Linked DNA regions of Arabidopsis thaliana. The protein of the gene in region 1 binds, or shares a complex with, the protein of each later gene. Each region holds a gene or a part of one and is shown on either strand. Other genes may lie near its edges.

What was found. The genes of interacting proteins can lie anywhere in the genome.
Region 2: RPS17 (region 1) and PSRP3/1 share a complex: the UniProt entries of both Arabidopsis thaliana proteins name them as parts of the 30S ribosomal subunit.

Annotation. Positions count from the first base shown.
Region 1 is NC_003070.9:30,040,405-30,044,006, forward strand, and holds RPS17 (ribosomal protein S17), read right to left. Parts: upstream 1,549-3,602; 5' UTR 1,519-1,548; coding exon 1,069-1,518; 3' UTR 839-1,068; downstream 1-838. Other genes in the region: GL2 (HD-ZIP IV family of homeobox-leucine zipper protein with lipid-binding START domain-containing protein), read left to right, coding at 69-155, 229-609; ROPGEF12 (RHO guanyl-nucleotide exchange factor 12), read right to left, coding at 1,768-2,430, 2,530-2,793, 2,900-2,974, 3,060-3,214, 3,298-3,602. UniProt on the Arabidopsis thaliana protein: One of the primary rRNA binding proteins, it binds specifically to the 5'-end of 16S ribosomal RNA. Required for optimal plastid performance in terms of photosynthesis and growth. Required for the translation of plastid mRNAs.
Region 2 is NC_003070.9:25,756,573-25,760,026, forward strand, and holds PSRP3/1 (Ribosomal protein PSRP-3/Ycf65), read right to left. Parts: upstream 1,840-3,454; 5' UTR 1,598-1,839; coding exon 1,373-1,597; intron 1,297-1,372; coding exon 1,021-1,296; 3' UTR 855-1,020; downstream 1-854. Other genes in the region: AT1G68585 (uncharacterized protein), read left to right, coding at 339-452, 532-613, 700-854; AT1G68600 (aluminum activated malate transporter family protein), read left to right, coding at 3,375-3,454. UniProt on the Arabidopsis thaliana protein: Component of the chloroplast ribosome (chloro-ribosome), a dedicated translation machinery responsible for the synthesis of chloroplast genome-encoded proteins, including proteins of the transcription and translation machinery and components of the photosynthetic apparatus.

The sequences.
Region 1 (3,602 bases):
ACACACATTTAAGCAAACAAGAAAAGCGGTTTCCACTCATATATTTATCTAACGATACATATCATCAGTGGGATGCTTTGTCAAACGGAGCTCATGTTCAGTCTATTGCAAACTTATCCAAGGGACAAGACAGAGGCAACTCAGTGGCAATCCAGGTGCGTTTATTTTGTCTTCTCCTCCTCTAAATCTGTCTAGGCCTTGATAATCTGAATTTCTATACATTTCCAGACAGTGAAATCGAGAGAAAAGAGCATATGGGTGCTGCAAGACAGCAGCACTAACTCGTATGAGTCGGTGGTGGTATACGCTCCCGTAGATATAAACACGACACAGCTGGTGCTCGCGGGACATGATCCAAGCAACATCCAAATCCTCCCCTCTGGATTCTCAATCATACCTGATGGAGTAGAGTCACGGCCACTGGTAATAACGTCTACACAAGACGACAGAAACAGCCAAGGAGGGTCGCTCCTGACACTCGCCCTCCAAACCCTCATCAACCCTTCTCCTGCAGCAAAGCTGAATATGGAGTCTGTGGAATCCGTGACAAACCTCGTCTCAGTCACACTACACAACATTAAGAGAAGTCTACAAATCGAAGATTGCTGATGACAAGTCACAGCAGATATTATTTACCTATATATAATTATATGATAATGTATAGCAGCAGTGCATTAAAGTTTTGTACAAAAACGACCAGCTCTCTCTTCTCCAATCCTATTATTATCCAACACCTTTTTGGTCCATTCCATTGGCAAATGAACCATAACAAGAGGAGCAAGAACCGTAGAATTAGCAGAAACAAAAGTCGGATCACTGAGACCACAAGCACACAGTAGCAACAGAAACATATTAATTCACATTCTAAATGTAACTGGAGGTGAAGATGAAGTAAGAGCAAACAATTGGTAGTCGGAAACAATCAGATTGAAAACACACTCATGGCATAAGCAATGAAATCACAAAAGCATTCCATAAATTACACTGGTTCCGGGATACACAACAAACAAACAGAAGCAGAGCAAAAAAAAGACGGCTTTACCAAAAGAAACAAAGAGCAATCATTCTCTACGCCGGCTGCTGAGACTCCAAGGGAAGGCCAAGGAGTTCATCTCCTCCGGCTTCGGCTTTCCTGGCGGCCCTTGCGATGACAGGAAGCGCCACAAATGATTTAGTCTTACTGATGGGTCTGCTCTTTTCCAGTCTGACCACGTCGCCAACCTTGAACTGATTATCGGGGTCGTGAGCTTGGTACTTCTTCTTCATCCTCACGCGCCTCTTGTACTTGGGGTGGGGAGCCAGCCTCACCACCTCCACCGCCACAGTCTTGTCACTGGTTGCGCACACCACGCGCCCCTGCATCGTTTTCATGGCTCTGATGACCGGAACTAAAGCGGGCATTCTGTGGTTCGGGAAGGAATTGGGCTTAGAGAGAGATGAGAGAGGAGTGGAGCCATGGGCGAACGGAGACGAAAGCTTGAGAGCTTGCAGAGATGAGGTTAGGGACGACGTTATCATCCTTCCGATTTGGAATCGAATCGATGAAAATGAAGATAAGGTGAGTACTACTACTATTTAGAAGGGATGTATACAGTATACAGATGGTAAATGGGTTTTACAATAAACTGGGCCTAATCTTAAAAGCCCACCTTTTCATAAAAAGGAATTTACAAAAGCCCTTTTGTAAAGTTTTTGAATCCTAAAAATAATTAAATAATCAATAAATCTGTCTTCGCTCTTTTTTGCGCCTAATTTTCCACACAAATATCAATGCCGTGCCGTTGGACTCTTGACACCGCCTAGGGTTTCGAGGTATGAGGTCTTCTTGGTCGTGACGACGCTTAGCTTCTCCTTTATCAACGGATCATCCGGTAGATCCTTCTTCGACTCCAATTCGGCGTTCGCGGCCTGATCGAAGTCCCATCCCATGAAATCCGACAGCGTCATGCTCCCAACCAGCGTCTCTTCCTCTGCTTCCAATGGCGTGTTCCTCTTGTTCCCCGCTCGATCTGCCTCTAAAACGTCATCGATTCTGGAAAGTACCGTGTAGGCCAAGCTTTCCAGTATTCTCGAGTAGCTCTCCAGCACCGCCTGGCCCACGTCCTCGTTGAACTGGATTTTGCTGATGTCGAGTGAAGATTGAGAAATCCCGGGGTATCTTTGCTTGAGAATGAGCAAAATGGTCTCAGCTCGCTCTTCGAAGACCTCTCGCTTCTCCAGACTTACTCCGGAGGCCCAGGGTGCCGATGATTTGTTGTCTTTATAAACCATTTTGCGTTTCCATATAATGATTGATGCCTCGATTCTGTTTTTGAGGTCCACGATCTTGTGCTCCGACGACATGTCCATGCTGCTCAGGAACTGGTCCGGGTCAAAGAAGTCCACCGTTATATTCTTGTACATCTGATCCCCGAGACTCGCCCTCCCGTTCTGTTTATTTATTTATTACAAACTAAACAAGTGAGTATTATTCTTCATCAACTCTTCTAATCAATAACATCAATTGTTGGTGTCTTTTTTTTTTTTTACCTTTGGGAGAGAGTCGATGTAGCTCTCAGGTATCTCCATCTCGAACAAAACCTGTGCGTTTATGGCCATGGCTGCCTTTAGAACCTGGTTTACACAATCTTTCTGGTACTGCAAAAACCTTCTTGAAGCTTCTGATAGACCATCTGGTGGAACTTTGACGGTCGGAATCCACCATTTTTCGTCGTTTCTCTTACCGTCTAAGTCAGGGGAGTCTTTTGAGATATAGCTGAACTCGCTTTGGTCCTTGAAATTTTCTAGACAATCCTAGGTAGAAAAGGGGGATAAGAGGATGCTTTTGAATATCCTAAATGAAATTATTAAAGTAGGGTTGATATTTGGTCAACGAGAGAGAGAGAGAGAGAGGTCTTACGATGAGCATGGCGTCCAGTTTCTTCAATGCGGGGATATTCATGTGGAGGTCAGTACGTTGGCGTGTGGTCATTATCTGTTAAATCAATACCAACAGAATAAGGGAATCATTGTATGTTACCAAATGAAATATAATGCAGCAGCAGCAGCAGATAGACAACCTCCATATTGGTCCCATCTTTATTTTTCTGCTGAGATGGAGCAAACTCAACCACGTAATCGGTCACGGAGAGAAGCCAATCAATCTCTTTTCTCCATCTTGCTCTTCTTTCTGCAGGCATTGGCTCCAAGCGCCGTTGCTCTCCGAACACGGAAGCTATACCAACAAGATAAACATGAGATATTGGTTGCTGGTTAATATAAACTAAGTGTAATAACAAAAGAGGGTCCTAAAGCAACCTGCAAGGTTTGTGATTGCGTTTGAAAGGGCGAGAGCAGAGGATACTCCTTTGCCTCCACCGGAATTGTCCTCTCCCAGCAACAGCTTGGAGAAGCGCTCTTTCATCTGCTCCATGTCTGCCAAAAGCTGCCTTTCTCTAGCCTGTGAGGCGGCGAGGGCGGCGAGGACTGCTTCATCCGCAGCCGATCTTGAAAGTGGTGGACCCTGACTAGGATGAATAATGGTCAATGGTTCAGCGTCATGGGATCCGGTGGCAGCCTCATCTAAACCGGTCTCGACGCTGAGACTCTTGTTGTGTCTCGTA
Region 2 (3,454 bases), 4.3 Mb from region 1:
AGCCAAAAGAACTTGACTTTCTTACTCAGATTAATGGACACTAAGTCATGGATCCAAAGCATATATTATATCTCTATTGTGTGTTAACATGTCTCTTGAGTCTCTAAACTTAGTTTTCTCCAAAGATTAAAGCAAAAGCAAAGATGGGCTTCCTCTGTCACTAGTTTTGCTAACTCATCCTTTTCGGATAGCGACACTCTTCGTTTCCCACTCTTGGTTTGGTGGTTTCTTTAGGATTCTAGATTTTTGTTTTACTTATCTTTCCTTGTACAAGAGACTGTTTCTATAGGATTCTTCATTTCCTGTTTTATCTATCTTCTCTGTGCAACGAGAGTGTCATGGCTACTCTGTCTCAAATCGTCGAGGAGGAACTTGAACCATCACTAAGAAGCAAGCTTTCAAGAACAAGTGAAACCAGTCTCGCTTCTGTCGCATCGTTATCCATGCCACTTGTTCGTTACTCTCTTAACACTTTTGTCTTAGAATGATTCAACTCTGTGGATTCTTTTAATTGATCTTGTGTGTTATCAGATTCAGGAGATTGTTCTATCAGCAGACATCAGATGTAGTGACTGCCAAGAGAAAGTCGCCGACATAATGGCGAGGATGATCGGTGAGTATATAGCTTACTTACTTCCGAGATGAGACACTTTTTTGTTCTTTCCTCTCACGCTTGTTTCCTCTGTTTTCTTGGAGCAGAAACATATTCAATATTGGTGAGTGTGTTGGAGAAGAAAGTGACACTAACGTGTACATATTCCGGTGACCGGAGAGTCTCTAAATCCTATGGTGAAGCTCTTCTCTGCAAAATCTCAACCATCAAGCGTTTGATATGTCCTTCAAGGAAACAATAACTCAGAGTTGCTTGATGTTTGCTTTTATTATCATTTTCTCTTTCCAATAAAATGAATCTTTTATGTCGAATGTGATTGGATATTGTTTAGATAAACAAAAAACTCTCAATAGCAATAATAATCATAGACAAAGTGAATTCTTGAAATGCAGAAATCAAAAAAGAGATTATTGAGAAGTTAAATTGCCGCCACTTTGTTGCCAGAGATTGATGATATCAGTGGCTTGGTTTAGAAGAATGATCATCTTCTTCTGAGAGATCCATGGTTTAGCTTCAAGAGTAGACTTAAGCTCTTCCCAAGCATCTTTCCTAGGCCAGAAGAAGTAAGGACTAAGTGGGATTGTGCCATGTCCAGGTACATGTTGGTCCAATCCTAATCCTATGTTCTTCTCCATCCACACAAACTTGAGTACCACTCTTGATTTCTCATCTGGCTTCACCACCTAACACAAACAACAAAGATTTGTGGGTTTTGTAACACAAGAGACAAGAAGATGAAGAAGAATATGTTGTTTTTACCTTTATTGTTTGTTGTGGAGTGTTGTCGGAAGTATCAATTCCGGTGACTGTTTCAGCGGTGAGTGTCTCTGGAGCTGCTAGAGTTATGATTTTCCGTTTTACAGAGATGGGTTTGGTTGTTTGGGTATGGAACAATGGAGGAGAAGCAGTGATGGAGAGTTTTGGATGTTGAGAGATGAAAGAAGAGCAGAGGGAAGTAGAAGAGAGTGCCATTGATGACATCATTTTTGTGTTTTCTCAGAGAACAATGGAGATTTTGTGAGAATATGGATAAGGAAGATATGGTCACATTTTTGGGTGGAGTTTCAAAGTAGTTTGACTATCAAATTTATGGGCTTTGTTGACTTGGCCCATCATTAAATGGGTCAAGAATACAGAGTTTATTATAAGCCCATGAATACAAACCTGAAGCTTTGAGAAGTAGACTTTTAAAAATACAGACTCTGTTTCAAGTATTTTCGAGGGACTAATTCAAAGATCTCAACATATAAGTATTAATCATATCATATTTAATTCGAATGACATTTGACAGCCACAAGTATTTATACAAAAATTAAAAACCTCATCTTTGTTTAGTGTTCATGATTTGATCAAAGTCAATAAATTTTTTTGTGTGAAATAAATTTTTGTATTAATCAAAACACAATTTTTAACAAAATATAATTATCGATATTGTACGCTGCAAGATGTCCTCAATTTGTTTTATTTATTTATCAAAAACAAATAATTGTTGAGAAAGTGGCCTTTACATTATATATGTCACATGATTCTTTTTACATTATGTCACATGATTCATCTTAAAAAATCGTCTTCTTTATTTTCACAGGTTTGCTGAGGCCAAAGAAGAGTCTTTCTTTGGACTTGAAGTAGCACTGGATAGATGAGATGAGAAAGCCTTTAAGGAGAAAGACACCATGATGGTCATTCATGAACATCATTCGATGAGTATATATAGTAAAAGTTTGAAATACTTCTTACATCGTAGTTATTATATAATGTGCACACGATATTTTTTATTTTCAGCATACAATAATTGGATAAAACAATCAAACTCACCCAAAATACATAAATAATTGTTGTTTCTCAAAAAAAAGTAGGAAAAATCTCATGTGAGGGTGGGTACACTGTGTAGGGTAGGGCTTGGCTTTTGAGCATAGTTAGGAAGTAGTAAGATGCGATGCGGTAGTAAGTAGGAGTTTCAAAATGTCACATTCACACAAGTCACGACCATGAAACTTGTCGTCTCTTTGATACTTGCAACTTCTCCAAAACTGTGGGTCTGTAATTCAATTATTAGAGTCTTGAACTTGAAGAGACTTTAAGATATGTGTGTAAATTTGTTCACCGTCACATTATTGGTCCATTTACATTACACACGTCCACTATAGTTAATTCTCAGGTTGTTTATCCATAGATATCTGTTGTTATTTCTGCGACACTTTTACTGGTCACAATGAATTATGTTGATGTTTAGATTCAACAAAAAAACTTACTAAATCGGGTAACTATGAAAAAATATTATGTAGCTGAGCCAAAAAGGTAAAGTCTACAGTTTAAGAAACATTAACACATTGAACAGAAATTAAGAAATAATATAATTCTATTTTTAATTTTTTTACTGAATAACTAATAGTCACAAAAAATCATATTACGGCCTTACCGGTCCATTTATGCATTACTGGTCCACAAATGTAAATTCTCACGTTTTAAATTCCATCTGTTTCAAAAAATTTGGACACTTTTGGTGGTTAATATGTTAATGATTAGATTTCAACCAAAAACATCAAAGTTATAAATCGGACAATTATTAAAATTTGTAATGTAGATGCACCAAATTGTAAATTTTTTAAAAAAACTTGATTATTTAGAGATGATGAATCGAAGGCATGCATTAATTGCGTAGTACAAAACAAATCTTGATAAATAGATAAATAAACATCTTTCTATTCGTAAGGACGACAAGAATCTCTCAGGTTCTGTAGAATTGTCAGAATCATTTCTAATGGGAGGTAAAATGGGATCAGTACCGGAGCAAAACACAGAGAAGCTTCTCTGGCAGTCAAGCGACGTCGCTGATAGCCG